Alligator mississippiensis: one gene and its partners. The protein of the gene in region 2 interacts with the protein of the main gene of each other region in a pairwise test. Links are inferred from orthologs where the notes say so. Each region holds a gene or a part of one and is shown on either strand. Other genes may lie near its edges.

What was found.
Region 1: the proteins of KLHL12 (region 2) and BAG6 interact in binary tests that used the Homo sapiens proteins (3 or more experiments, as listed by UniProt). The two-hybrid records come from large-scale screens. The link is inferred for Alligator mississippiensis from reciprocal best matches to the Homo sapiens genes KLHL12 and BAG6.
Region 3: the proteins of KLHL12 (region 2) and PDGFRB interact in binary tests that used the Homo sapiens proteins (3 or more experiments, as listed by UniProt). The two-hybrid records come from large-scale screens. The link is inferred for Alligator mississippiensis from reciprocal best matches to the Homo sapiens genes KLHL12 and PDGFRB.
Region 4: the proteins of KLHL12 (region 2) and TBC1D10C interact in binary tests that used the Homo sapiens proteins (3 or more experiments, as listed by UniProt). The two-hybrid records come from large-scale screens. The link is inferred for Alligator mississippiensis from reciprocal best matches to the Homo sapiens genes KLHL12 and TBC1D10C.

What each region holds. Positions count from the first base shown.
Region 1 is NC_081834.1:58,568,964-58,576,746, forward strand, and holds the start of BAG6 (large proline-rich protein BAG6), read right to left. Parts: upstream 3,006-7,783; 5' UTR 2,924-3,005; intron 2,611-2,923; exon of another isoform or gene 2,522-2,610; intron 1-2,521. UniProt on the Homo sapiens protein: ATP-independent molecular chaperone preventing the aggregation of misfolded and hydrophobic patches-containing proteins.
Region 2 is NC_081837.1:33,121,360-33,128,308, forward strand, and holds the start of KLHL12 (kelch-like protein 12), read right to left. Parts: upstream 3,002-6,949; 5' UTR 2,912-3,001; intron 2,418-2,911; 5' UTR 2,221-2,417; coding exon 2,038-2,220; intron 1-2,037. UniProt on the Homo sapiens protein: Substrate-specific adapter of a BCR (BTB-CUL3-RBX1) E3 ubiquitin ligase complex that acts as a negative regulator of Wnt signaling pathway and ER-Golgi transport.
Region 3 is NC_081832.1:75,044,852-75,052,382, forward strand, and holds the start of PDGFRB (platelet-derived growth factor receptor beta), read right to left. Parts: upstream 3,007-7,531; 5' UTR 2,829-3,006; intron 1-2,828. UniProt on the Homo sapiens protein: Tyrosine-protein kinase that acts as a cell-surface receptor for homodimeric PDGFB and PDGFD and for heterodimers formed by PDGFA and PDGFB, and plays an essential role in the regulation of embryonic development, cell proliferation, survival, differentiation, chemotaxis and migration.
Region 4 is NC_081825.1:176,231,145-176,239,064, reverse strand, and holds the start of TBC1D10C (carabin), read right to left. Parts: upstream 3,014-7,920; 5' UTR 2,927-3,013; intron 2,394-2,926; 5' UTR 822-2,393; intron 184-821; 5' UTR 169-183; coding exon 1-168. Other genes in the region: PPP1CA (serine/threonine-protein phosphatase PP1-alpha catalytic subunit), read left to right, coding at 3,105-3,159, 3,436-3,567, 4,133-4,363, 4,919-5,023, 5,247-5,470, 5,702-5,836, 6,211-6,321.

The DNA of each region.
Region 1 (7,783 bases), on a different chromosome or scaffold from region 2:
GCCCTGATATCCACTGGGCCTAGTCAGTTTCAGATCCCTATTAGGACCCTTCTACTGACTGATCTAGTCAGTTGCACAGGCTGTATTAAAAGCCACCGTCCTGGCAGAGTCTAGTGAGTTTCAGGACAGGTAGGTGCAGCTTGGATAGGGACAGATCTAGTCAGTTTCAGGGGACACATCAAAAGCCCTGATATTGGCAAAATCTAGTCAGTTTCAGGACTGGTGTGTGGCTTGCATACTGACAGATCAAGTCAGTTTCAAAGGCAGCATTAAAAGCCTTGCTATCAAGAGGGCCTAGTCCAGTGGTTCCCAAACTGTGGGTTCTGACCCCAAGTAGGGTCACAAAATCAGCAGATGGGGTCATGGGGGTGGGGACCTGTGGGTTTGGGGCAGGGGCGGCATGTTGAGGAAATGGGGCCATAAATGGAGTCATACCAAGGAAAAGTTTGGGAAGCACTAGTCAGTTTCAGGGCTTGAAACTGACAGATATAAAGCCAAGGCAGCAAATGCTGAAATGTTTTCCTGCTCAAACCCAAACTAGGAAGTTTTGCTTTCGAAAGCCTATCAAACTCCACCCTGCAGTCGGTGCAATAAGAGAGATCACCCTAGGGAAATCCTTGCTTCATGTATTAACTCGTTATCACTTATAGGATCATAAGGAAGACAGACCTCTCATGGTCTCTTACGAGGCCCCCTAAGAAATCCTTCCCTTCTGTATAATTCCCCCTCCTTTCTTAAGGGGGACTTAAAGTTTCCTTGGTAGGCACTGGCCCACAATCCTCTTGGCAAAGCAAAAAGGCCTGTTTAATTCCCCTACCCCGCCTTGGAGCACTTGTTGTCAACCTCCAACCCCTACTTCTGTCCCTCTTTCTGCATTAGTTGTGCCAAGGAATCAATTATTGTGCCCCTATTGCAGTAAACTTCGAGAAAAGCCTGTCTTTGAGTTACAGTTTTGTTCATGCCCCCACCCCAACCCAGGGAAGCAGCACAACCAGGCACAGGGTGCCCCTCAGCCTAACAGCCACTGGGTTCGGGGGGGCCAGACTCCACCTGCTGCAGCTCCAGTGCCTCCTGCCTTGGCCCCACTGAAGTTCTACCTTGCACACCTGCCATGCCAGGCTCCCAGAGTCGCAGCAGCCTGCTGGCAGAGCCTGTCTGGGGCGTCCTGCCCCTGCATCCCTGTGAGGCTGCAGCAGCGCCGGCTCATTGCAAACGTCTTGCCTGCCCCTCTCTCCCCCAACATTCCTTCACGCCCCCCAGTTTGAAAACCATTGCCCTATCAACTGCCCTAATTAAGGGAAGCGTGTGGTTCCCTTGGTGGGCCCAGGCCACAACTCCACGCACATAACAGACATGCCTGTAGGAGGAACCCTGATGACTGTGGGGCCGTCTTCCTGGTCCTCACTAGGACACATCTCCAGGCAGAGCATCACCGGGTGACCCCCACTGGCTTCTTGGGCTTCTTCAAGGGCTAGTGCCCCCTTGGAGCCCTCAAAATTAGCCTACAGCCTAATTTTATAGGCTGTAGGCCTCCACCCTCCCCCCCAACTCCCACCCTGGTTTTTTCTCGTTGATTCTCCCACCAATTTTGTTCTGAAGCACCTAGTAGGTCGAAGTGGAGACAGGGCTAGCAGTTTCTGCATGGGCCTACAGTCCCTCGTGTACAGCAAGGAGCCCAGGCCCACAGTCTTCCTACGCATAACAAAGAGGGTTTGGATAATTCAGAGAATCACAGAAATCCTAGGGATGCAGAACGGGAAGGAGTCTCCAGGGGGCATAATCATGAGAAGTGGGGCAGGAAGGGACCTCCAGTTGTCACCTCTAGTCCAACCCCCAGCCTGAGGCAGGGTCAGCCCTGGCGCGACCAGCTCAGACAAATCCATCAGGTAAACTCAGGTAAACGTAAGACGACCACCAACCCTGACAGCACAGACCACACCCGAACCTGCCACAGGGAAAGCAGGGGGACTGCAGCAACGTCCTCTGTCTGCAACAGGTTGTTAACAATCACTCAAGAGATCCCAGGCACGGGCCGCACCCCCCACTACAGAGGCTGACACCCCCCCCCCCCACGCCCAGTCCCCACCAGCCCGATCGGGGGGAATATTCCTTCCTGACACAGCGTCGGCTCGACCCCGAACAAAGGGGAAGACCCTCTAGCCAGGACCCCGGGGCTGAGCCCCAGCAGGAGCGCTGGCACAGCCCAGCAGGCTGCCAACACATTAAAGACACTGGGCATGATGCCTAAATACACACTTCTCCTTATATTATCATTATAGCGACTGACCTTGAACCTCCCACCGACCCTCCTGGTTCCCCCCTGGGAAGGGGGAGGGACGGGTCAGCACCCCCCCGACCCGAATTACCCCATTCCTCACCAGGCTTGCAGGGGGGGCGGGGGCAGAAGGCCGGCTATACCTGCCCACAGAGGGATCAGGGAGGGTATAACCCCGCCTCCGCGGGGCGGGGGGGGGGGGACCGAGACCCCCATCACCCCTCCCCCACACGCGCAGGTACCCACCGAGAGCTCCTAGGGCTGGGAGGGGGGGAAAGGAAGGGGAGAGGCCCAACAGACACCTGGCCACGCCCCCTTTCCTGCCCAGGACGTCACTTCCGGTAGGCGCAGAACCACTTCCCGTCCATAAAAAAATCGGGCAACTTTACGGAAAGAAAAGGCGGTTCCGTGCTGGGGGCTCCGGCCAGAGAGAAGGTAGCACTTCCGGTCCCACCCACTCAAAAAGAGGGGGCGCGTGAGGAATGAGATGGGGCTTCCGGTCAAAAGGGGGCGACTTTCGGTCAAAAAGGATGACTTCCGGTTTCTTATCTCAAATTGGGTGACTTCCGGTGTCCCTGGTAATGAAACGGGGTTCACTTCCGGTCCCCACGGGCCGCTTCCGGGTCCCCACCAAGCCCAAGTCCGAACCTGCTTGCGAGAGACTCCCCGCACCGGCTGCTCTGCGGCGCACACCGCTCTGCGCATGCGTGACGTGGGGACGGGGGCCTCAAGACTCGGGGCCAAATGGGGCTGCTAGCGGCGCGCCTGATGCGCCCCGTCACCGCTGCGACGGGCCCCCCCCCATCCCCCGCCCTCTGAGGGGCATGTCGGTGTGCGGCCGCGTGTGAGAAGAGTCCGCGGGGCGGCCGCGTCTCACGCCGGTTTGGATCAGGCAGTGCTGTAGGCGCCCACACGCTGAAGTTCTCATGGGGCAGAGCTTGAGCCCCCGGCTCCCGTCGCGCATGCGCAGGGCTCGGTGCCCCCTTCCCGCCAGATGTCAGTGGCTACCCGCGCGGGGGCGGGGTGATGAGGGCTGTGCCCCCAGGGAGGTGGGGCATGAATTTGCCCCGTGCTGCTCTTGGCCCTGGACTGTCAGCAGATGTACGTGAGATACGTTAGACAGACTGATCTAGAGAAAAGATCACACCCCGAACCAAAGGGGCTGAAATCCTGACCAGAGGTTCGGGATCTGTAAGGCCCTGGGTCCCGGCGTAAAACCCACAGGCACAGATCGCCTCAAAGGGCTGCGTGTCCTGTTGGTCTTGGGCTTTCACCAGGCCTGGGTTTGTCCCAGGATCTAAGAATGGAAGAAGTGTTTCGTGCAGAGACTTTCAAGCCGGCGTCGGCCAAGGGAGATGATGGGGAGCATCCCAGGAGACACCCCCATCACCCATGGGACCTCCCGCACACAGGAGTCGGGCCTGCCGGCCGGTGCCTCATTCACTTCCAGGGTGGAGAAAGTGGCGACTGCTTAACTGGCACCCTGAGAGCCAGAGCACGTACTCCCGACCTACGGAAAGATGAACCGTAGGAAGGAAATGCAGGGCTGAGGTAAGGTCCCACACGTGAACCCTGCCTCTGGGAGAGCTGCCCCACCGTGGGGAGCTGTGCCCACAGTCAGTCATCACCGGATCCATAAATTAGTCCAAACACATGGAGCAAGTCACCTCTGCCTGGAACCTCCCTGCCAGCTTCCCTACAGCCATGGCTCCAGCTCCACTGCTCCTGGGGAACAGCAGCTACAAATAAGTTTATCTTTTCCTGACTGCAGGGGCAGGGCAGGGCAGGGCAGAGCTGCCAGTGTATGAGACAGGGGCCCAAGCAGAGCGAGCCAGGGCAGGGGAATAGTTAACACCAGCCCTCCCTGCATGCACAGTCTCTGCAGGGTCTGGGGCTGCACTGGTTCTCCACCTTTTTACACTCAAGGCATCTCTCATTAGACTCAAGGCGCCCCTCAGAAAAGGCCAGCTCTGGTTTAATTCCCTTTTTGAGTCTGGAAAAAGAATAGAGCAATTCTTCTGTTGCAAAGAACTCAGAAAGGCCGCAGCAGGCAAGACATCTCTAACATGTCTCTCCCCTACCTTGGGGGTCTTTAAGAGGAGGCTCGACATGCACCTGACTGCGGTCATCTAACTCCAGCGCTCTTTCCTGCCCAGGGCAGGGGGTTGGACTCAATGATGTACTGAAGTCCCTTCGGACCCTAACACCTATGAATCTGAACACTGGATTTCTAGCTGAAAACTCTGGGTTAATCTTGCAATTCGTATCTGCATACGTAAGAACATTAACACGGTGTGGCACCCCCAACACCTGCCATGGCACCTTGGTTGAGAGCCACTGTGTGTGTGTCAGCTCACATAGCAGCGAGTGGCTGAGCTGCAGGTCCTGCTCTCCAGTGAGCTGTTCTACCAGTGTCCCAGTACCCTGGCCTTCACCAGCCAGCTGGGAGTCATAGATGAATAGACAGTAAGGGCTGGAAGGGACCTCATAAGATCATCAAGTCCAGCCCCCCCCCTCCCCCCCCCCTCACCATAGGCAGGAAGTCAGCTGGGATCAAGTGATCCAAGCAAAAAAAATCCAGATTTTTTTTAAACATGTGCCAACTCAGCAGAGTGGGCAGGCGCTGGCCCTGCTCCTCCTGGTCATGGCTGTCCTATCCCATGGCCTCATCCCAGAGCAGTGTCTCCTTCCAAGCAGCCTTTGGAGGAGCCCAGCCCCTCGGCTGTGATACTGAGGAGTTTCTGCACCCACTCCCCTCCTGGGCCCTTCCCTATACAGTGGTAACTGCCCTTCCTTAGGGTCACGCTCTGTGGCCTCAGCATCCAGCAGAGCAATGGCCGGGCTCCAGGGGCCTCCTCATGCTTGTGCTTTTCAGGACCAGGCTGAAAGAAGCAGTTCCTTCGCTTGGAAGGTGGGTCCTCCATGCTCCCCCTCCCTTGACCCTGCTCATCTCCCTGTCCTTCCCCCCCTGGGAGAGTTGCTGTCCTCCCTCCCCCGTGAATGGCGCCCCTGGCTCCAGAGTGCCTTGTGCAGGGAGCTAGACCCGATGATCTTCCGAGGTCCCTTCCAGCCTTACAGTCTATGAATCTATTAAATGGGTTTGGAATCCCCGGCCAGGGAGAGGAATGAGCTTCACCTCTGGGCTTTCCCCTGTGCCAAGGCAAGACCCACTGTCCCCAGGACAGGTGCCAAGCAAAGGCCCCGCAAGCACACGCCAGGCCCTGAAGCTCTGCCAAGAGAACCCTCTGGGTCCCAGTTTCCTAGTAAGTGCTGTCCAAAGAAGCGGCTGTTCACATGTGGCTGAGCCTGGCCTCCTGCCAAGCCCCACATGAGCAAAACCCTTCCCACAACCCCAACCACTTCTGCTTGCTGCCACTCATCTGGATACAAGAAACCTCTGCCCAGCCCACCGTCCCTGCAGTCAGGGAGTGTCTAGGGCAGGGGGGACAATTCCTTGTGCTGGAGGGAGCTTGGGTGAGCTGGGCCAGCAGCACCCCCACCCCCCGATCTCCCCAACTCCCTAAGTGCCCCCAGCCCACATACCTGCCCCCACATAAGGGCAGAGGAGCTGCTGCTCCTGTGCCCCAGGTGCTCACACAGGAGCCACCTCTGCTGTGCCCAGGAGGACCTGCAGGCAGGGCCAGGACTGGGGCTAGCCCCGCTGCCCACCCTGCACCCCCCACACCTCACTGGGGCAGGCAGCTTGGCTGCAAGTGGAGCCTGTCCACACGGCCACCCCTGCATGCGGGTCTGGGCCATGGGGGTTTCCTGCCCTGAACGAGGCAGCAAGCGCGGCCCAACCCAGGGCTGCCTGCATGGGGTCTGTGTGTCGGGGCAGGTGCTCGTTTTGGGGAGCTGGAGTTGGGGCCTGACAGGGGAGAGGCAGGCCCTGCTCCCGGGGCTGAGGAGTGGATGGGGGCCGGGCTGTGGGGGAACAGGGGGCCCAGTTGCAGGCCACCTCCCTTGTGAGACTGGCCTCAGTCCCAGGGTGGCTACAAGAGCAGGGTCAGAGACAGATGCTTGTAACCCCACTCCTTCCTACGGCTGTTCTGGGAGAGGCACAACTGTGGCTCCTGCCTCCAGTCTGGAAAAGCAAAACCAAGGTCCCTGTGGTTGCTGCCCTCGGCCGAACCCCAGCTCACCCCAGCCCCTCGGCAAGGGGCGCCTTTTCTCTGCTCAGGTCTGGGAAGCCAAATGTTTCTCCATCCTTGGGGGTGTTGGTTGTAGCCATGTTGGTCCAAGGACATGGGTAGACAAGGTCTTGGGGGTAAATCCAATATCTTTTATTACACCAAATAAATAGTTGGTCTAATAAAAGGAGCCCTGTCTCTGATCCTCTGGCTGCAGTCTGCCAAGTGCTGCTGGCTCTGCAGCCAGGGCAGCCCTGGCAGAGCCAACTGCTCGCTCCACAGAGCCCCGGGCAGGGTCATGCATCTGGGCTGTGCTCACTTCTTTCGAGCCAGCCCAGACAACTGGAACCAAGCACAAGAGCCCACTGCTGAGTGCGGGTTACTGAGGGGGCTAGGGGCATTTCCCCACTGACTGCCCCCTCTCCGTGGGCTCAGCTGCCCCAGGGGCAAATCTCCATTCACTCCCAGGCAGTGCATCTGTTCCAGGGGTTTGCACTGGAGTCATGCACTGGGCCAAGAACACCCCATGCAGACAAGACCAGGGGCACTGCTGGGACAGTGGTCTTCTGCCCTCCAAGTATTGCACAGTGAAGAGCGGGAAACACCAGGTCTCCCTGCAGAGCCTGCCCCATTCACAAGAGCAGGGTTCACCCACCCCACATTGCTGACCTGGGGCATCAAAGCCCCTTAAGGATGGACCTATCGATCTTCCCAGACCCAGGCACAGGTCTCCCAAGGCAGGCCCAGGACACTTGCTGGGCTCTGGGAAGCGTGTGGGCACTGCATGGACAGAATAGACCAACCGTAGCAGAAGAAGCTGCTGCACAAGGCTCAGTGCCAGGGAGATCGACTGAGAATCCCAAAACACCCTGGGCCTGGGATCTCACATGGCTCAGAGACCAGCCCTGTCCAGGGCCCAGGGCGTACAGAGTGTGCTGGGCTGGGAGCAGTGAGGGGTGAATGCAGCAGGGATGCACTGAATCTTGCTGGTCACAAAGCCCACCTTCAGGTCACCAGGATGGTGGGAGCAGTGGCTGTAGCAAGCAAAGTTCTCCAAGGAGGGCTCTGGGGTCACTGATATGGGGTCAGGGTCACTCACCTGTGTGTCCTCGGGCTCTTCTGAACTCTGGAATCAAGCAGCAAAGAGAGAGGTGATAATTCACACAGCAGAGTCACTGCAGCATGACCCAGTGCAGACACTGGGACAAATCCTGCTGTCCTTACTTACCCAAACGCCTGAAACTGCCCAGGAGCTGGGGCAAGATAAGAGTCAGTGCTGCAGTGTTTGGTCTCTGATCCCTGCGGCAGCTGATGGAGAACTGAGCCATTCCCAACACAGGGAGTCCCAGAGTGGGGGTCCCCAGGGCAGCTCAATCCT
Region 2 (6,949 bases):
TTTACCCATCTGAATCAATGTTAGCTGTAGCTCTGCCAAAGTCATTTTACTACTTAGAACAGGGATGGGGAAAATGGCAGATCCAGCCAACAGCTGGACTCCATTTCCCAGCAGCCTCTGCCAACAAGAGGCCAGGGTTTCCATAGAGACCGGCCCCAGCAGCACTGGCAGGGTGCATGGGCTGGGCAGGGAGGCTGCTGGGGCCAGTCTCCATAGAAACCCTGGCCCCACGCTGTCATGGCCCTGCTGCTCCTAGGGTCTCCATGGAAACCAGTTGCAGCAATGTGGCCAGGGGCTCCTAGGAAATGGAGTCTGCTGCAGGCCTGATCTAGCCCGGACTTTGCCCGTCCCCGACCTGGAACAAGAACATGTCTTTAGTGTAAACTGCAAATATCAAACTCACCCAGCCCTGTGGGCCAGATGAGTAAAGCAGGGCTGGTCTGCTAGGGACCAGTGGTTTTCAACCTGTGGTCTGCAGACTATATCTAGGAGGTCCGTGAAAGATGACTATGATCAAAAGCAAGTGAATACCACACTTAAAATTCAAAAAGGTCCACGCCTCCATTCAAAATTTCCAAAGGGGTTCAACAAATGAAAAAAGGTTGAAAACCACTGTGCTAGACAGATTTGGCCCAAAGACCAGCCCACACACAGATGCAGCATAGGTGCTAGATCTGGCACCGCTAGTGTAGGCTAATACAAATAATAAAACAACAGTTTCTAATCAAGAGAGCACTACACTGGGGTTCAGGAGATCAATGTTATATTCTTGGTTCTGCTACTGACCTGTTCTATGATATTGAATGAGATGCAACTCATCTCTGGACTGGTTGCCTACCCAGCTCTCTCTCACTCTTATTTATTTAGGTTGCAAACTCTCTAGGCATTGTTTCTGGTTATACAGCACTTAACATAATAGGATAATAATCCCATTTGAAATCTTTAATTACTATTATGATGTAAATACCATGATCAGAAAGACTGTTGGATGACGAGACCACTGGGGGAATGTTTTTCGTTTGAAAGCTTTGAGTCCTTAGGCTTTCAATAACCTGAGTAGTCAGAGCCAGATCCTATTCTACCTATAAGAATATACATGATCTTATTGTACTCTCCTTCTGAAAAACAGTTAATGCAAGAAGTGGATGGATCCTCTTCCTGCTCACAGTTTCTTTTGACTTAGTCTGTCATCTTAGCCTTCAGACCATTACAAGTGCGCACAGTAACATTTTTCTGGCACTTGAACCAGGTAGAATTGGATAACACTTGGTTATATAATACACATAATAAAATCTAACCTTTCAAGATGAAAGCAAAATCCTTTCTAGAACAAAGAACATGCAAGAGCTGGATGAAGCATACACTACATTTTGGTACAGCAGGAGGCTGACGGCCATGAAACAGTAAAAACTGCCAGTCGCCACTTCTGCAAGGCACTGCTAAACTTCAGCAAGCTTGCTAAAAAGCCGCTAGCTAGTTAAAGCTGAGCAAAGCAGCTGCAAGCTTTGTCAAAGTAGAAACTTTGTCAAGGACAATAAGAAGATGCTCAGAAAGAGAAAAAAAGTGTGATAAGAAAAGTATAACAGCCTTGGTGTGTCTATGCAGACAGAGTTTTAGAAAGATAACCAATAGTGAAAACTCAATTAGGCAAATAATCTATAAAATGGCCAGTAGTCTTGGCAACAGTCATGGTAAAAATAATAAATACGCAACTAAAAAGGCATAAAAAAAAGTTTGGGAACAAGAGGCCGCTGGATTACTAAACCGCTGGGTGACTAGACTATGCCCCAATGAGACCCTGAATTGTCTAATATCAAGGATACGGAGGAAGACTCGCTTGCAAAGTAACCAGCGCATGTCTAGGTATAGGAGCATGTGCTATCTGCTGAATAAACCTACATTAGCAAGGTGGAAACTCCTGTCTCTTGAGCACTTTCTCAACAACCCCCTGGATCCCCAGTCGGAGGTTTTGAGACACCAGCCACATTCGTGACAGACACGGATCCAAAGTCCTTTTGCGACAACTGCCTGGCCTACCTCGCTGGTGAACATTGCGCAGAAGTAATCACTGCAAGCAGCCAACACAATCCGATGGGCTGGGAAATCCTTCTGCTCCACGCGCAGGGTCACGTCACAGAGAGTATTGCTCTTCCGCAGGGAATTCATTGCGTTGAGGATGGACTTGGCGTGCGAGTTAGTCATGATATCTTTCGGAGCCATAGCGTCAGCAGCATAGCACGGAGAGCGGGAGGCGCCTCAGCTCCCTGCGAGCGGAGAGAGCAGAGCCTTACTTCACCGGGAGCGCGGGGAGCCTCCGACACGGAGGCCGCAAACAGACGCCACTTGTCGAGGGGCGAACCGTTTCATCCGGGCTCAACGTGCCGCCATTCGGACGCCCGCGCCTGCTGTCACAGGAGCTTCATAGGACAAAAGGGCACGAACAGTTAATGCCAGGACAGCGTCTGAAGGCTCATGCCAGGTTTCTGGCACAAAAGTGACAGCTAGGGCGACCATCGTAGAGGATAGTTCGGTTGTCCTCTATTGATACGAAACCGGACGCCGTTATGTCCTCGATTTTTCTCTTGAAATGGACATAAGGCGCTGGGTTTCCTATCAAGAGAGGGCAGAGTAGCAGAAAACCGGACTGTCCTCTAGGATGGCCACCCGAGCCTGTGTGGAAAGGTCCATGTCGGCACAGGCCAATCCCGGGATCTCTGCTCCGGGATAAACCCAGGCACCAGCTGTCCCGGGACAAAGGCAGCACCTGCTCCTGGCTCAGGAGGCCGGCGGGGACCAGTCTGGGCGGCTAGAGCCACCGCGGGCGGGGCAACGGGCACCTCTCCACCGGGTGAGCACAGCCCCCTCCCCTGACGGACACACCCCGCCCGCCGGCCCCGCCCCGCGGACACACCTCAGCCCGCACCGCGCCCGCAGCGGGGAACGGGCCCGGCGCCCGCTGATGGCGTCACAGCCCTGCAGCCGTTCGCGCCACGTGATCTGGGCTCCTGCAACGCGCGCTGATGGCGTCACGCGCGCCGCACCGCCCCTTGCTCCACGTGACCCCCGAGCGGGCGCGTGGTCTTGTTGCCGCGGTTACTTCACGTCAGGGCCCGCCCCCTCTTCCAGCTTCAGGTTTTTGCACTGCGCAGGCGCGTCCGAACTCCGTGCCGCACGTGCCTTTTGTCTCGGTGGCCGAGCGCGGCGGGGGTCCTGCCCGTGCCCATCGTGTACTACTGTTCCAGGTGGCCCCGGCTCTAACGCGTGTCCGGGCCGGAGGGATGCTGAGAGCCCCGAGTCTACACCTGCACCCTCCGTGCGACTGGAGCCAGAGCCGGGCATCTGTCTGCTGAGCACCCCCTGGCCCCTGCACAGGCATGCTTTTGCAAACACTACTCGCAGGGTTCTTGGTTGTCGCCGTGTTGGTCCAAGGACACAGGCAGGCAAGGCTCTTGGGTAGATGCGATCTCTTTCATTAGACCACCTGAGTTGTTGGAGGAAAGTTCTTGGCAAACTTTGGGGCGCAAACGCCCTTCTTCAGGCACCAAAAGTCTCTGCTGCTCCGCGACTCCCGAGGAACGAGAGACGCTAGAAGTGTGGCAGGAGGTCGGTGAGAAGGTAAATGGGTAGAGATTAGAAAGACCAAGAGTAAAGCAGAGAGGGGAGGGGAAGAGAGCAGGGGGAACAAAGGCTAAAGGGAGACATTACAGAGACAGACTGTGAAAAAGCCTCTCTTCACTGCCTGACATCTGATTCAACAGGTGCCTGCCTGACCTGACCTCTTTTCTCCCCTCCCCTCCTTTTCTTTCCTTTGTCTCCCTGATTTCCTACTATTTCCTTCTTCTTTGAGAGCCTCTTTCTTACCCTGTTTTATTACCTCTGTAATGTTTTGCTTTGGCCTTTCCCCCCCCTGCTCTTTTCCCCCTCCCCTTTTGTTTCTCCACTCTAGGTATTTATATACATCCTCTCGCACTGTGAGCTTCTCTCATTCCTGTTGCCCTGATCTCCAGCTATTTCCTTTTTCAAAGACGGCCTCTTTTCCACCTTGTAGTCTATCACTGTAATGTCTCCCTTTAGCCTTTCTCCTCCTCTCTCTGCTTTACCTTTTGTCTTTCTAATTTCTCCCTATTTACGTTCTCACTGACATCCTGCCACACTTTTAGCTTCTCTCATTCCTTGGAGTCTCAGACCAGCAGAGGCTCCCTGTGCCTGAAGAAGGGTAGCTGCGCCCAAAAGCTTGCTAAGAACTTTTTTTCCAACTACTCAGTTGGTTTAATAAAAGATATCACATCTACCCAACAAACCTTGCCTGCCTAGTCGCTCTAATAAAAGATATTCCTCTGCCATGAGTTTTGATTCCTTTCGTCTCTAGACCAATGCAGTTACAACCTGGACACCTGACCCCTATGGAGTCTGAGCCAACAGGATCCCAACCTACAGACGTAGTTTACGGAGAACATTATATATGGAGCATCTTTACCACAGCGCACGTCCCTATAGTACAGTTCACAACAGCAGCCTTAAAGGGACTCTTGCCAACAACACTTCTACTGGAAACTCATTTAATGGCAGCACTTCAACATTAGCTCAGAACATAATGAAGGAAATTCTAATCTGAGTTCTTAATTCCAAAACACAAATGACACCAGTTGCTCATTTAAGGCTTTATCTTGCAAGATGCTGAGAATATTCAGCTCTGCGTATAAGCTGCAGAAAAGCTGCTAGAGCTGAAGAATGTTTAATATGAAGAGCCCACAGTATTTAATAGAGATTGTCATTATGGGGGATCACAAGCATTAAAGCAGATGGTGAGACTTTGGGAGAGGAATGTGCCCTTTTAGGTCAAAGCTGGATAAATAGTGGTGTCTTCACAGCATAGAAACCACTGAGAGGGTATAGGAACCGTGTTTGTTCCACATGCTAGAAGTTGCTATGCCCCGGGCTCTGGTCCTACAGGTGGCTGTTTGCACAGAACTGAGCTTTTTACCCTGCTATTCAGATTGCCTAGTTCAGCCCCAGATCCAAAAGTAGGTGTCCCACAAAACTCAAAATCCTTGATCCAATTGGTTTAAATAAAAGTACAGAAAAACAGACCTCCACCAGGTAGAACTGTACTGTGGGGGGTGGCAGAGCTGAGATTCAGCTAGGGTTACCCATCCTGCTTTATCCTTGGGCCCCATATCTTGCAAGGGAGATGCCTGTGGGTGCATGCACATGTGAGAGAAATTGGAGCTCAGCAGTAGTGGACCAGGGACCATGTGCTGCTTTGCCTAGGTTTGCCACCAGGAGGATTTGAGAAGACAGAGCTGCATGCAAGCCACCAGCACATTGAACAAATACTCTGGAGCCTGGTCTTTTTGTGGAAGGTTCCCCACCACCATCTGAGTTCAGGGAAGAGGGAACTGGTGTGATGAGCCAACCAGAAACACAGCTGCCAAACTTGAAGAAAGCAAGCTAAGACAGTGCCACATCTGGGCTTGCTTCTTCCCCCCATGCATGCCGTGCTGTCTCACCCTGAGAGTGGAGCTCTTCAGGTTCTCAGACACGGTACAGTCACCCCTTATTGGAAAGTTATCTGCCATAACAGCTGGCAGGAGCATAGACCAGCACCAGCAGCAAGGACCTTTGAAGGAATGGGACATCCTCATTGCCCCATGGTCCCTGTCCACTTCCCAACCGTGATTTGGGGTGTTAGCTTCCTTCTACTTATCAGCTTTAAATGCCCTGTCTCTCCAGAGCCCCCATGGTTCCTCCACATTAAGTTTCATGCCCCTGTCCTGCCATGCCTCCTCCTGCATAACCCCCTCTGCTGTCCTTGGACTAGCGCCGCACAGCAACCCAGAGGCAGGATTGCAATCTGGCTAGCTTGAGGCCAATAACAGTGGAGCCACAAAAGCACAGGTATAAGTTGGGGGCTGTAAAACCTGACCTGAACCATGGGGAAGAAAGGTCTAGCATTTCTGTCAAAACTGCAAAAGAGGCATGTAGTCACATGGAAAATTAACCCTGTACAATCTTAGTGGATACAAAGTGTCCCCTAGCTTTACCTCAGTGTAGCTGGCTAAAATCAACCCTATGCCCCTTGAATAGAACTGAAGCTACTCCCTAACGGTCCCAGAATGCTGTGGTGACCAGATTATAGCAGTTTATGATATCATTTTGTATAGTTTAGATCAGTTTGATAGTAGGGATGCAAAAATATAGCCCAAGATAAGTTTGCCCTAAACAAACACTTGAGAGCCGCTAGAGGACAGTGCCCTACTGCTAGTTTTGAAGATTTTACTTTCTCCCCAGCCAACCTGCAAAACTAGTTCATCGGGAAGGGTAAAAAGCCAGAAGTGCATATAACAAAGAAATTTGGGCAGGCCAGAGAGGATCTCTTGCTCTCTGCAGTTGTTATACACAGTATATGATTAGGGAGTCAGGATGAAGACTTAACGGGCATCCTCTGTCTGAAGAAACTACATCTGTCTAGGTTACCATCAAGAGATCTGGATGGTGGTACATCACTGGTCACATAAAGTGTATAAGTATTTAGATTGTTCTTGTTCTTAAAATTCCTTTTTTCCCCCTAAATGTTTTGTTACTATTGCAAAATACTAAATAATGCTTTGGTTTGAAATGGCTACCTGGTCTGTATACTCGCTGCTACTCTCAAGCTCCCAGAGGAAAGCATCACAGGCATTGAACCCAGTCAGGCCTGTTATATGAGCGTAGTCAAGACACTGGCTTTGGGAGTGCAGAGTCCAGTTTAACAGCTGGAGGATATCATGATTTCACGCTAGAAAAGATAAAAAGGCATAAGATGTGACCCATCTTGCACAGATGGCCCTGGTTTCGGGGCATCCTCAGAAACCAGCAGGAGTGAATATATGTAGATACCCTTAGAATCTAAGGATATCTGCAGGGGTATAGGTTGTAGCCATGCAGGGGTATGGGTTGTAGAATAGCT
Region 3 (7,531 bases), on a different chromosome or scaffold from region 2:
CCTCCAAGGAGGAAGGGTCCAGGTTCTCTAGCTGAGGATGTTTCTCCGACATCCAGCCTAAATCTTCTGTGTTGCAAATAAAATGATTTCTTTTTGTCATACATTCATAGACATTCGGGCTGGACCCCGGAGGATCATCGAGTCCAGCCCCTGGCCCAAAGGGCAGGAAGTCAGCCGGAGTCACAGGATCCCAGCAAGATAAGCATCCAAAATGGAAATCCCAGACGACAGCTCACTGTCCTCTCTACAACCTTTTACATAAGAAGGAGACTTCTCATATCAGTCCTCTCTTCTCTAGACTAAAGGAGCCTAGTTCCTTCACCCTTTTTTTTTAACACGTTCGTAAACCTCTCATCCCTCCTGCTGCTTCCCGCCGGACTCCCTCTTGCTTGCCTGCACCTTGTGTATCGTCTCAGATTCACCACCCGATGACAGTTCAGGCAGGAGACCTTTCTTTGCACACCATCCTCCTTTCCCATGGCTCTGGGGACACGTGGGAAACCGGGGCACTGCTTGCTGCTCTTCCCAGCCTTCCCCCTGCCCTGCCAGCTCTCACTTAGTACCTGGACATAGGGATAGTTGACAGGCGGGGGGACGGGGACTTCTCGTGTGGCAGCTGCTCGGTGATAGCTCTGCATGCTCAGACCTACCCCGAGAGGGAGCCAAGCTGTGTGGTCCCTTACCCTGCGTGGAAGAGAAGTCACCATGGCTGAGCTCCCACTTCTGGTGGGATAAGTGTGTGCACACAGGCAATGAGCGCAGAGCAGGTGAGGTCTGCAGAAACCCCTGGTTTCCACCCACTGAGCATGTGGGACCACGACTCCCTGCGGTGGCATGACTGGGGGGGTCTCTGATTTTGGATACAGACCTCAGCAAGGGACTCGGATGTCAGAGAGATGCTCAGCACTCAGGGTATAACAGGCTGGTTTTCCCAGGCGCAGGGCTGGAAGGGACCTCCCGAAGTCAGTGTAGTCCAACCCCCTGCTTCAGGCAGGATCACCCCTATCCAAAGCATCCCATAAAAACCATAATCTACGCTCTACACAAGACAACCATCAACAACTATCTTCAGCTGAGTGCCCCCAAATTGGAGGCACTCAAACACACCCACCTCCTCGGAAAACTTTGGCCTCAGTTTCTCACTCTCACAACTGCAAATGAAACACGGATTGTGCAGCGCTGCGCCCGTCCTAGGGCGGGTGACCGCCGAATGCCGTCCATTCAGCTCCCCAGAGGATTACCCTCAGTCCTTAAGGACCAAATTCAAACGGCAATACCATTCACCCCTTCTCTGCTGCCCACCTGAGCAGAAACACCCCACTGCTTAGCACAGGCCACCCACGCTGGGATGCTGGATGGGTGCTGGGTGCAAGAAGAGCCTTTTCCTCGCCCATTGAGCTGGGAAATGCTTCCACTCAAGGTTTGTCTTTTCAAACAGCAAAGGTGCAAAGCTCCCCTGCGAAAAGTCCCGGCTGGATGAATAATCCCCTCCAAGAGGAAGCTGGACAGTGCATCCGGGCCCCTTCCCGTGAGTGGGCTCAGAAGCACTAACTCATTCAAGGTCCCATCGCATGGCTCAGCCTCCTTTGGGGCTCTTGCCCCGACTTGATGGGCTTTTGTGGCCTAAAATTCACCAGAACACAGCTTTCCATTGAGGTTGATGGCTGTGAAAGAAACCTTCCACTTGGCCATGCTGCACGTATCCAGGCTACTCGGGAAGGAGCTCTCTCAGGTCCCGGCAGCAGCGAGAGCTCTGCTCCAGCTGCTTCCCCCCAAGATTACCCTGAGCCTCAAGCTGCAGCTCCACCAGAGACCCGAGCTGCCCCGTTCCCCTCCATGGGGACGTTATCCGCTAAGGCTCACCTGGACGCTGCAAGGGGCAAATTTCAAGTCAGGGAGGCGCGGTTCTGTGCCTCCCTGGCTAATGCAAGCACAGCAGTCGTTCACGTGAAGGCGCATGCCGAGGGCCACATGAAACAAGGATGGACGTAGCCGGGGTTGCAAAGGTCCCACTGAATGATGCCATGGACGTCCTGGGCAGAGGGACGCCTGTCTGCACAGGGAAGCCGTCCTCACGTTGCAGTCAGTGGGACCCAAACACAAGCTTAAATTCTTCCTAGAGTGAGCACCCGAGGCTTGCCAGCATTCACTTCCCTCCAGGGCCCCTGCAGACCTGTCACTGCCCTCGTGGGGATCTGCTGTGGGGCCAGCGGAGAGACCAAAGAGCACAACTGAGGAGCTCTCCCATGGGTGCCACCCTGCTCTGGGGAGCAAGCACAGCCCCGCCTTCCCACGGGGCCCTGACTAAGTGCCTTGGGGGTCAGCGCAGTACTCGCCAGCCGGGCACCCTCAGAGCTGCTTTCTAAGAGGCAGAGCCTGGGCCAAGGCACCGATGCCCAGCACAGAGTCCCAGTGCCCCCCCAGCTTTGCCCTCAGCCCCCACTGCACCTGGCACAGCGGGGGGCACTGGGACAGGAGCAGGAAGCGGGGCAGAAACCCCTTGGCTTCCCCCATCACCCCAGCCCTGCAGAGGGGAGGTTGGCTCTCACCCCGGGGTGGCACCCTGCTGCCTCTGTCCCACTCGGGGCTGCCTGCCCCTTCTGCCCAGCTCTGGGTGCAACCCCCCAGCCCCCTCCCAGGGTCACCCACTTCCCCCTATACAGCCAACTCCCTGGGGACTTGCATCACAGTCCCTGGGGACTTGCATTGGAGCCTGGGCAGACAGCAGGGTCCCTTTCCGCATTGCAATCCCAAACCTGGGGAGCTGCATGGCCGCAGGGATTTAACTGCAAGGGCTGGGGGGCGAGGGGGCACTCAAACGCCCTTACCTGGAGCCTGTGCGGCCGGAGCCCTTCCCCGTCTGGCCAGGGCTGCCCCCGAGCTCTGTCCTGCCTGGAGCATCCAGCGCAAGGGGCAGGTCCGAGCCGCCTCCCGGGGAGCAGCCCCTGCCCTGCCCTGCCTCCCTGGGCTGGGCTGGCTCTAGCTCTGCTCTCCGCGTCTGCTTTCAATTCTGGCTCTTTTCCCTGCCTCCTCCTTTTTTCTTTTTCCCTGGCTTCCAGCCCCCCTCCCATTTTTCCCCTTTCTCAGGATATGAGGGGATGTTTAGAGAATCCGCTGCCCACGCCAGCAGCTGACTCATGTTTTTATTCGAGAAGGCCTGTGCTCAACTGACTCCACACATTCCCTTCGGATCTTGGCTGGAGCTGGCACCGTGCAGGCTGAGCCCCTGGCAGCAGGCTGGGCCGGCCGCCGTGTTTCTCCAGCAGCCACCCGGCCCCTTAGGTGTGCAGCCCCTTGCGCGCGGGCTCGACAGCCCACCACAACGACTCCTTTGCTGGCACAGCCCAGTGAGGAAGGAGAGTACATTCTTCCAGGGTCAGGGACCAGGGCTAGCAAAGGAGTCCGAGTTGCCGGTGGGGCGCGGGTTAGCCCCCCGGCACCGGGAACCCATGTGGACACTGGATTCAAACAAAGGCCCTTTGGATCTGAGTCTGGATGTGCACCCTGAGCTTTGTGAAGGGAGATGAATTTGCAAAAATGCGGGGGGTTTCCCTGAGCGCCCCGGCGCAGGGGTCTGTCTACATGGGGATTAACCTATTGCACCTCTCTGGCTCTGGCAGCTTGATGCCATATCTGGACACTTTTTTGGGTGAGTTTCTGGCTTAGTAGAACCTTTTGTGGGTGAGTTTCTGGCTCCCTGGAGCTGGTTTCAGGCCCTGGGTTCACCAGGATATCCTGGGAAAGCCCAGACAATAAAAACATGTTGCAAGCATGTGACGACCCACTGAGCCGACCTGGGAAATGCTCACCTGGGTCCAGCATAGGTTAATGGCCCCTGGGCCCAGCGGGTCTTTGGCATGTCGTTACCCCGGGGAAATCACCCTGTGCTCTGCCTTAGGTTTCTCTATCTGGAAACAACTCTTCTCCATGTCTCAAACTGGACGCCAAACGACGCTCTGAATCCCGAAGGAGCGTCCTGGCGGAGAACCCCACAAAGCTGTGCTGGCAACGCTGTCCCAGGACATCTCCCCGGGCCAAAAAGCCCTTTCTAAAGCATCCCCTGCCCTTCTCCAAACATATTTAGCAGACTGGGTACAGGCTGCGTGCCCCTTAGGCGAAGGGCAGCTTGGAGGCACCATTTTACTTTGCTAGGTGGATGGTTTCCAGTCGAGCCGGCGGATGAGTCGCCAGCCCCGGTGGTTTCAGAAGTTGCTGCTTATCTCTAGTTATCTCAGTATCTTCTTCCTCTCCTTGATGAAAAACCAAGTGGAGACGGCTTATCCAGAGACTGCTGATGGGAGAGGGGGAGGAACTGTCCATGGGAAATCCCGAGCTGTTACCATACAATGGGGCTGTGCTTGCACAGCATCCTTCGGTGCCCGTGATAGAAGGGAGCAAGAGGTGTGAGGTGCAGGGTTAGCCCAGGTTAGGGGCAGCCGTGCGGGAGGCTCTTGTGGAGGTGAATGGGCTGGTGGCAAGCCCGAAATGTGGCATGGAGCAGCGTCGAGGGACCTGCACAGGCTGCCCTGCTATTTGCACTGGGGATTCATTCCTTTTGGAGGCAAGGAAAGGCCCTCGGAGCACCCGCACTGGGTGCAGAGAAGGGGCTGCAGAGACAGACAAGTCCTGGGGGCCTTTCTGAGATGGGAAGCTGCTCGCGGCATGCTGAGTGGTGGGGGGAGAGGCTGGGAGGTACGGACCCAGGGCCCTCGGGGTGCAGGCACAGTCTCAAACCTCTCCCCAGCTGCTGCAGGCCAACCCTGTGGGGTGGCAGGACGGAAAGGGTGGGGGCTGTTCGTCTTTAGCCACAAGCCGTTTGACGGGACAGCTGCCCGGTACCAAGACCCTGGGGTCACCTCCGTCCTGTGGGCAGGCTGGGGTCTCCAAGGTGTGCCCCCACAGCCATCCCTTGCAAAGGCAGCAGGGTCTTGAGGCCCCTCTGGAGGAGGGCAGGGGGCTGTTACCCTGGGGCTTTGGGAAGGGCTTGCCATCGTAGCCATCGTAGAGGAAAAAGTCGTGCTAAGGAGGGCCTGGTGCATGCTGCAAACTGCTCCGAGTCCTTGTTGCTGCATCCCTCGTGCCTGTCCAAGGTCACGTTGTTTAGGAACTCAGGGTGTTTGGGCTACGGGCGCTGCGGGACAGGACACGGGGAGCCTGGAGTAAGCCACGTATGTGGGAGGAGAGAGGCTGCCTGCTCTCGCTAGCTCCCTTTGCTCCGGTGTAAGAGACCTCCGGCCAGCCGTGATGCTCAGAGGGATTAGTTACGTCCGAGCTCTGGGGTTTGCTGCAGGGATGCTGAGCTCAGCAGTGCCCACAGGGCCTAAGGTGCTCCTGGCCTCTGCCTGCACCCGTTCTAGATGCCAGAGCTGCACCTGGGCCTTGCCAGTCCCCCGGCTCCTTAAATAAAGGGCGATTCCTCTCCGCTCCGCCAAGCTGCACCCGCAGAGAGCTGTCCCGGGTGATTCTCCTCCCCATGAGGTGGGGGTCTAAGCCTCAGGCCGCGAGACAGATGTCAGAGGCCCTATCACTAGCCAGGGGGGCACGGAGCAGCATATGCTCACCCTGTAAGTCATGCCAGCATCTGCTGCTCATTTAGCCAGTGGGGATGAACAGCAGGGCGGCAGGGGCACTAGCACCCATGGGGCTGGCACAGTGGGAACAAGCACCCGGCATGGCTTCACAGGGGCCATTTCGAGCCCTGGCTGAGGGCAGGGGCTCAAGGAGAGCTGCCGCCAGGTGCCTGGGGCTGCTACCTGGACTGTTTTGCCTGGGTGGGCATTGATGCAACATGAGGCCCTGATGCACGAGCTCTTGTCACCGTGCAGAGACACTGGTTCCCGCGGCTGTGGTTATCGCAGCAAGTGGTGGGCCCCAGGGGTGCGGGGAGAAGGCATCCCAGAGGGGCCAACCCAGAGCCCCCCAGTGCGACGGCAGTGGGCAGCTCTGGTCCCCACCTCTCCTGCCGTCCTGGCGGCTAATGCTGCCCCCAGGCCAGGGGCACAGGAGCCTTGTGCCCATTCTGCTCTGGGACGATCCCATGAGTCTGCAGGGAGATGGGGGCTGAACTGCATCCCTGACTCTCCTCCAGGCTTTGGGGGGCTCCCCCCAGAGCTGGCCCTTCCTGCCTGGTGCCTTGGTGGGAGCAGCTGCACGCTCCAGTGTGAATGCGAATAGCAGCACTTCCGGTCACCCCAGTCATTCCAGCACATCTGGAGCCACTTAGGCACTGGAATGATTAACCCCTTGTGAGCTCTGCTGCTGCCATGCCAGGCCAGCCGAAGAGGGAGTGCAACCCCCGTGAGCCCGGAGCACTCCTGGAGGGTGCTGGCAGAGCTGGAGGGCAGGGCACAGGGTGGGCAGGCCCTACTCCACCCTGGCCTGTGCAGCAAAGACCGTAGGCATCCCATCAGCCGGGAGGAAGGTCTAGGAGCCACCACTGTGTTCTGGCACATTGCTCCATGAGGCACAGCGGAGCAGAGTCCCACCTATGCCTCGGTCTCTGGTCCCAGAGCAGGGGCTCAGCTCTGTCCTGCCCTACACAGGAGGGCTCCCAGGATGGCCAGCGATGGCCAGAAGTAAAGGAAAGACAGAGCTGCAGTGGATACAGAGGATCCAAGCCACTGGGCTGGCCTGGGCGAGTGTCCAAGCCAGATACCGGTCCAGGATACTTCGGGTTCCAGTTCTAGGTGCAGAGAAGCATCTGCAGATGTGTGCACACCTATGCATGTGTGCATGATGCATGTGTGGCGAGGTACATCACCTCCCCTGGGCCATGGCTTTGCATGTTGCATGTGCCCCTTGCAAAGGCTGGGTGCATACCTGGGCACTGTCCGGACAACTCCTGTGCCCGTTACAGCTGTGCCCAGTGCCCTCCCATGGCGAGCTGGGGTAGTGCCATGCAGGCAGGCTCCACAGTGCCCAGCTCTTGCATTTCCATCCCCGGACTCTCCCTATTTAGCGTTTGCAGCAGCCTCTAGGCCTTGCCAGACAGAGCGGGAGGACAGGAGCTCGGAAACCGGGATGCAGAAAAAAAAGAGGCTGGTTTAAAAAGAAAAAAGGAATGCTTTTTTTTTTAAGCCCCTTCTTTTGAGGCTGTGCTGGTGCTGTCCCATGACTGATGCAGCATGGTGAGCCAAAGGCTGCCTGCTCTGGGCCCCACAATGGTGCCAGAGGCAGCAGGGGGAGGTTACTAGTAGGGGGTAAAGCAGGTGGGACAGGAGGGGCAGGGGGCCCAGGAAAGCGAGGGGTCTCCTTTGGCTTCCAGCAGGGCAGGGCACTGCTTGCAGCCTGGGTCCAGGCCTCTGGCCATCTGGGATGTCCCCTCGGCCTCTCTCCTTCCGCCTCCTCTGAGAGCGCTGCCAAGGCAAGCAGTCAGTGTGGTAGAGACGATATCTTTTATTAGCCCAACTAGACAGTTGCAAAAACCCCAACTTCCTTTATTTGCAAGCTTTCAGGCACATGCGCCCTTCCTCGGGCATAGGAGAATGCAAAGACTGTAACGTTTCTCCCAGGGAGAAACAACAATTCGTAT
Region 4 (7,920 bases), on a different chromosome or scaffold from region 2:
GCCATAGCGATCAGTCTGGCGGTATGGGGGAACCCCATTGAACTCAGAGTCAGAGCCTAGTGAGCTGGAGTCCTCATGGTGCTCCAGGGCCAAGCTGAAGGCATCCGACAGGTCCTCCAGGGTGCTGTGGCTGGAGGAGTCAGCAGATGACATGGTGCTGGTCGCCATGCCCACGAGAGCACCCTGCAGGAGGGAGAGAGGGCCACAGTGAGTGTGGAGCAGGACAGCCCAGGACCAAGCACCCAAAAGAGACCCTCACATAGGCTCTCACCACAGCCCACCCCACTCTCTCCCCAAAGGAACTATCCACACCCCACCTCCTAAGCCTCCCCCTCGCCCCCCTAGGCCCTGCCCACCTATGCCCCTGCACCTCACCCCTCCAGACCTGCCTGTCCACAGCTCACACCCTCTTCCCTTCCTAGGTCTGTCCATTACAGGGCCTCCTTCCCCTATCACTTTAGTCTTTCTGTTTGGGGTGTTGCAGCCTCTTACCCACAGTGTCTACCCTGGGCGCCATTCCCCATGGGGTCTTCTTGCACAGCATCCCATGCCTTGTGCCCTCTCTGGGTCCGCCCATTTCCCCCAGCACCCCAGCACAGGACCCCATCTATGTGTGTTCAGTGTGTATGGGACATGCTGGGGCTGTCTTGCTGGCCATGCAGCATGTGTCCGACCCCTCACCCATGCAGGCTCCCCCACATCTATTGGCAAGCCCTCATCTCTAAATCTCCCTACACTCAGTGCTTGGGGAGTTTCTCAGAACATCCCCTCGCGTCTGTCCAGACACCCTGTGCTCCAGTCTTCCCCAGGATCCCACTCACCTTCCTTGGCCTCTAACTCGTGCCCTGCGCTGGGCTTGGGGGGCTTTCCTGATGCAGGATGCTGTGTCCGTGTGTCTGTCCCTTGCTGGCACCTCAGCCCCGGCGTGCGCCTTGCAAGCTGATTTCCTTCCCACAAGTCATTTCCTCCTGCACCTGATACTGCTGAGGCGGCAGGCAGTGTGTGTGTGGGGCGCAGGGGCCCATGGGAGAGAGCACGCAGGGAGGGGGCAGGTCCCCTAGAGAGGCAGTGCATGGTGTGGGCAACCGTCCTAGGGGGGGACACATGGCACAGGATGGTGGCAGGCACCCTGGGGAGTGCATGAGGAGGGCAAGGTCCCAGGAGTAAGCAGCCAGTGGGCCTGGGACTCGAGGCAGAGGGCACTCACTCTTTCCTTCCACCTGCTGACTGAGGCAGTACTGGAGTGACTGGGAGCTCCTCCCACAGCTATCACCCCCTACATGGCACTGTGCCAGGGGTGCAAGGCAGACAGCGTCACAGGGGGTTGTATGGTGGTGATGGCCTTAAGATCATGAGCCAGGCATTGACATGGGGTGCTGAGGGTGGTGCTGAGCCCCCATGGCAGTGTTGGATACTAGCAGTGGTGGGCAGTGCCTGCAGTCATTGCCAAGCAGTGGTGTGGGGGTGGGAGCCTCCTGCTGGGCACTGGCACTGTCTGACCCCTAGTGACACTGGGTGGCAGCCCTAGGCATGGGTGGATCTAGGATTTTGAAAAGTAGGGTACAGGTGGTGTGGCACATTGTCACATACAACACAACACTCTTTTTCTCCAACTAAAGGGAAACTAGAAGCTTTACTAATATGCTACGGGGCTAGTATGACAGTATTCAATTTGAGATCCAAGCAAAAGTAAACAGGGTATAACTGCTGGAATGTGCACTGATTTCCTAGATGATAGGAAACTTTTATCTTTAAAAAAGCACAGTAAATTTGACAAAACACAGTCATAGTCAAAAGGTATCTCATCAGTCACAAAGCCATCACAATTCAATCAACCCAAGTCCAGCATTCCTGAGCTTCTTGACAGTGCCTCCAGTACCTCACTGTCAATCACCTGAGGTAGTATGACCACACAGAGGTTAAAGTTTTTTGGCTAGAGCGGAAGAGTCTGCGAGGCTGTGATCCAGAAGAAAGAGGTGACTAGGCCTCTTCTGGATTAAGATCCAATGTAGTCCCTGCACTGGTCTGCTGCCGGGGCCGAGATCACTTTTGAATGGCAGTGTGCAATGGTGGGTGCATACCTGTGCAATGCACTGAGGACAGGACACCTTATGAGAGTCCACTATAGCCTCCCAGTGGGATGATCTTGGCTACACACCTACTTTATAGAAATGGTGGACACCTCCTAAGGGCAAGCGAGACTCGGGGACATCTGAACCCCAAGACCTCTGGGCTTGGGCCTGTACGTAGGATGCCAGCCAATGGATTTGGGGGTATCTGAAGCCTCAGGCTGAAGAGTCTGGGATGGAGGATACAGTGGTAGCGCCACATGGATTTGAATGACTGAGTTCGGCTCAATTGATAGGCTTTGGAACTGATTTGGCAAATTCAACCTGAAATATGAAATTAAAAAAAATTAAAAAGAGAGAGAGAGGCAACCAGGCAGCAACATTGCAGAGCAGTGCTGTAGCAATGAAGTTTGGTGCCCGGGGCAAAGCCCACAGCGGCAGTTTGCCTTTGCCCTGCGCACACATCTGGGGGGCACACGCCTCCCACCCCAATGCTTGCCCGGGAGTGAACGCAGCGGCGAGAGCCATCCTCCCTCCATCCCCCCCAAAATGAGCCACTTGCAGCTCCGTCCCACTCCCCGCCCCGGGTGAGCAGCACCTGTCAGTGCCCCTTCACTTTGGTGCCCAGGGCGGTTGCCCTGCTCACCCCCCGCCCCCCTTGCCCCAGAGGATGGGCTGGGGCGCAGGGTGGCCAGCTGGTTGTCCCCTGCCCTCTCTTGATACGAAACTGGACGCCTTTACGTCCTCTATAGAAAACTCGAGGACATAGAGGCGTCGGGTTTCGTATCAAGAGAGGACAGAAGTGTCCTCTACGGCGGCCACGGGGGAGCCCGGACCACTATGACCCCTGCACTCACACGACCCGCCGGCTGGCTGCAAGGACACCCCCAGGCCGCAGCGGGTGCTGCGCAGCGGGGCGGGGCGCGAGGCCTGGCGGCTCGGGGACCCAGCCCCGCCCCGCCCCGCCCCGCCCGCAGATGGGGCGGGGCGGGGCGGAGGCAGCAGGCGGGGGAGCGCAGGCCGGGCCGGGCAGCCATGGCGGACGGCGAGAAGCTCAACCTCGACTCCATCATCGGCCGCCTGCTGGAAGGTGCCGCGGGGCCCGGCCGGGGAATTGAGGCAGGGCGCGAGGGGCGGCCCCCTTGGGGCTCGCCTGAGCCCGCGGGGCGGGGGGGCACGTGCTGCAGGCGCCGGGATGGGCCTGGGGCGGGCGGCAGGGCTGCGTGTGCACATGCATTCGGGTGGGCGTGGGTGCTCACGCGCGTGGGTGGGTGGGCGCCTGCATGTGTCCGTGCGTGCGGGGGCGGGGAGGCGCTGCCCCCCCCCCCCCCCCGGTGACCCGCCCCCGTGGGCCGCCCCGCTGCAGTGCAGGGCTCTCGGCCGGGCAAGAACGTGCAGCTGACGGAGAACGAGATCCGTGGCCTGTGCCTCAAGTCGCGGGAGATCTTCCTGAGCCAGCCCATCCTGCTGGAGCTCGAGGCGCCGCTCAAGATCTGCGGTGAGCCCCAGGGCCCACCGCCACCCTTGTCCACGCATCTTGTCCCCCAGCCCCAGCCTTAGGGCAGTGGGTTCCCCTGCGGGAGGTTGCAGCGTGTCCTGGCTGGTGTTCGCAGGGATCGGAGCGGTCCCACCTGCACCTTACTCTCCATTGCTCCCCCCAGTCCAGCCCTAAGGGTGGAAGGTCCCCCTGCGAGAGGTCCTGGGGGTCTCTTGCTGAGGTGGGCTGGGTGTGGGGATTGGAGCAGCCCCCCCACCCCCACACACACACTTCTTTGTCCCCTATTGCCACCCTCACCCCATTTGTGGGGGTGGTGGGTTCCCCTGTGGGAGGTCTTGGCAGGTCTTAGGAATCCCTTGTTGATGCTGGCAGGGTAGGGGGGTCAGAGTGGTCCCCTGGCTCCGGCTGCAATCTGGGGGATTAGGGGAGGAGGATGCGGGATCTCTGGGCAGGGCTGGTAGGGACAGCATAGGTTCCCTGCTGGGCTGGGGGTCTCTGGGTAGCTGGTAGGGAGGTTGGAGAAGGTCTGTGTACTGAGGGTGCCATTCCCCCCTGCACTCTCCAGGTGACATCCATGGGCAGTACTACGATCTACTGCGGCTCTTCGAGTACGGGGGCTTCCCACCTGAGAGCAACTACCTCTTCCTGGGTGACTACGTGGACCGGGGCAAGCAGTCATTGGAGACCATCTGCCTTCTGCTGGCCTACAAGATTAAGTACCCTGAGAACTTCTTCCTGCTGCGCGGCAACCACGAGTGCGCCAGCATAAATCGCATCTATGGTTTCTACGACGAATGTGAGTGTGATTTCACCCCCCTCCCCCTGCCCCTATCTACCTGGACGCATGACTGTTCCCATTTGTGTCTGAGCCTGGGCCGTGCTGCGAGTATGCAAGCATCAACTGCATTTGAGTGCTAATGACCCTGGGCCCCCACTATTGCAACCTCTGCCTGCCTCCAGGTGTGAGCATACACCTAACTGCAAATGTGCAAACATCAACCACGCCTGTGCCTCATACTCGCATCCCTGCAGTTGAGGGTATCAGCTGCATCTCTGTCTTGTGCACCAAATTTCTTACCCTACCACACTCCCAGTCACAAGGGTGCACTCCCCAGCTGCAAGCATGTGGGCATGTGCTCTGGGGGCAGCTGATGTGGTAAGTGTGGTGCCTTCCAACTATGAGGGGGCTGCTTGTCCCATCTCCTATGGTGGCCCAAACCATGTGACTCTCTGACCTGGGTCTCCCTAGAAGGGAGTGTGCACCCCGGGAAAGGCAGATACTCTTAGGTGGTGGGAGCAGAAGGGGCTGCTGCTGTGGTGAGGCTCCCATCCCAGATATTGTGCTTTGCAGGCAAGAGGCGCTACAACATCAAGCTCTGGAAGACATTCACTGACTGCTTCAACTGCTTACCCATTGCTGCTATTGTGGACGAGAAGATTTTCTGCTGCCATGGAGGTGGACAGTGCCCAGGCCTCTAGACCTTGTGATCGGGAGGGGGAGAGGGAGTCCTTTCCCTTATGAGGCACTGCTGGGGTGGGGTTTGGGGGGAGAGGCTCCGCAGGGCTGTGTAGGGGTAGAGGGTTGCTGTGGGGGGGTCACTGGGGATGCTCTCCAGCAGATCAGCACCACCCCCTGCTGGGGTATGATGTCTCACAGCCTTATCCCCCTTTCTTCCCAGGGCTGTCCCCTGACCTGCAATCAATGGAGCAGATCCGGCGGATCATGCGCCCCACGGATGTGCCAGACCAGGGCCTGCTGTGTGACTTGCTCTGGTCCGATCCTGACAAGGACGTGCAGGGCTGGGGCGAGAACGACCGTGGCGTCTCCTTCACCTTTGGCGCTGAGGTTGTGGCCAAATTCCTGCACAAACACGATCTGGACCTCATCTGCCGGGCACACCAGGTACCCTGTACCCTGAGATAGAGCCATATTAGGGGAACTCAGGGGTGGGCTAGCAAGGGGTTGCGGGTCAGAAGTGAAGAGCAGAGCTGTGAAGAGAGCCTGTGGTTGGGATGGCAGAGAGCTATAGCGGAGGAGGCAGAGCCAGGGCTCCTGTGTGGGTTCCCTGCATCTGGCAGAGGGAGGGCTAAGTTGAGTCCTGGTGCCAAGCCCTTCGTTGTCCTTCTGCCTTAGGTGGTGGAGGATGGTTATGAGTTCTTTGCCAAGCGCCAGCTGGTGACACTCTTCTCAGCCCCCAACTACTGTGGCGAGTTCGACAATGCAGGTGCCATGATGAGCGTGGATGAGACCCTCATGTGCTCCTTCCAGGTGAGCCTCAGGCCAGGGCTCTTCTTCCCCACCCCTCCCTGGCAACCATGGCAATGAGCCAAGCTCTCACCCTACGGACACAGGCTCAGAGCTGGGTAAGGGTTGAATTTCCCTTCCCCTGACCCTGCAAGCATCTGCCTGTCTCCTGTAGAAAACCTTGATGAGGGAGGAGTTGGGTCTTGGAGTGGGGTTTCAAGAGACTCCCAGGGGCTCTGAACCCTGAATACTAACCCTGCTGCTTGTGATTTGGGGGAGGGCAGTTGTCCCCCCCACCCAGGCTGGAGATGCTGTCCTCTAGCCAGTGCCTCAGTCTGTTCTCGGGGTCTGGGGTACAACAAACTATGCCCTCTCCTTGACTCGATTCTCTTCCCCAGATCCTGAAGCCAGCTGACAAGAATAAGGGCAAATATGGGCAGTTCAGTGGCCTGAACCCTGGTGGGCGCCCAGTCACACCCCCGCGCAACTCGGCCAAGGCCAAGAAGTAGTGGCTGCTGCTGGGGAGCACTCTTTGCTGTGCCTGCTCCGCCAGCTCTGCCCACCATGGCTATGCTGTCCAGGTTCATGTCGTCTGGGGGTGCCCGGTAGAGCTGAACCAATCCCTTTTTTTTAAGAAGTAAACTATCCCTCTGGGAGTTGATACCAAAAATCCTGCTCTGTGGGGGAGGGGGCTGGGAGGGCCTCTGCTGGGAGGGGGAACAGGAATTTTTTTTTTTTTTTTTTTTTGGATAGTCCTTTTTTGCCAACTCGGCCCCCGTCTCTCCCATCTCCATCCAATGCTCAGTTTTTTGAATAAACGTTTAACAGAAATTCTTAATCCATGGCCTTTGCCTGGTTTAGTTTTCAAGCCAGTGAGTGGAGGAAGGAAGCATCTAGCTTTCACTTCCAGATCAAAGATCATTAGATGCCACCATCTGCTGCCTTTGTTTCCCATTATCCCCATGCTGGGGGGGGGGGCAGCTGGGTCTTGAGTGTTCTTGTGGGGTCTTCCTACCCTCACCTGTCTATGAAGTAGAGGTGTATAAACATTTAGCTGCTGCTGGGAAGGGCCTAGCTGCTGTATGCCACAGGACCAGGGACTGAGAGCCAGAAGGTATGCTTTGTGCCCTGTGGCCCAGCTATGGGGTATGGGACTTGAAGAGGCCACTAATTTCTGCCCTGTACTGTGGAGGGACCTCAAGAGCCTGAAGGCACTGGTCATGCAGTAGGAAAGGGACAGTCTGGGGGCTCTCTGCTTCAGGGTGGCACCTGGACATGGACATCTCGAGTCTCAGCTCATGTAAATCTTGTCACCCTACAAATGAAAGGGAAGGGAAGAATGCTGGTCTAGGAGCATAGGCCTTGCATTTGGGGGAATGGGTCAGGCTCCCCCTATAGCCAGAGCTGCTACTGGGATTCTTGCTGGCTGTGTTTGGGGCCAGGGGTTCCCCAGCCTGGCAGGTGTAGGCATGCAGAACTCTGGCCTCTCTGCTGCTGGCCCAGCCCAGAGCATCACAGTACCTCAATTCAGAGATCTCTGAATAGAGGGGGAATGATATGAGAAAGCAAGCAGCACATAGCTGTGTCTAGGGGAGACCTTCTGCAGGGGGTGGTGTATGTGTGAGAATCTTGTACTTTGGGTCGCACTAAGCTTCAGTGGTGGGGGCTCTGCAGAGCATGCACAACCCAGCCCTTGAACTCTGCTTCAGTTGTCGCACAAGCCTGGCTCTGTGCCTGGCCCTCTGCATGCCAAGGCAATTCTCAGGGGAATTAACAGCCCAGCCTTGAGCCAGGCTTAGCCCAGGGGGACAGCGCCAGTTGGCTGCCTTGGGACAGCCTCCCCTGGCACTCACAGCCTTGGCCAGGGAGCAGGGGGCCAGTCCAGGGAGAGCTGCAGAGCAGGGGCAGGAACCCTGAGCCTGAGATAACTGGCCTGGTCCCTTTGGAGGGGCAGGGATCAGGCCTGGAATATGTGGAAAACTGCTGTGGGGGCCGGTCGCCCCTAGCCCCCATTTAGTGGGATTTGGTTGTGGGGAGGATCTGACTGGCCTGACATTACACTCATACCCTTCAAAAGGGACTCTAAGCCACTGCTCCTTCCACCTCCT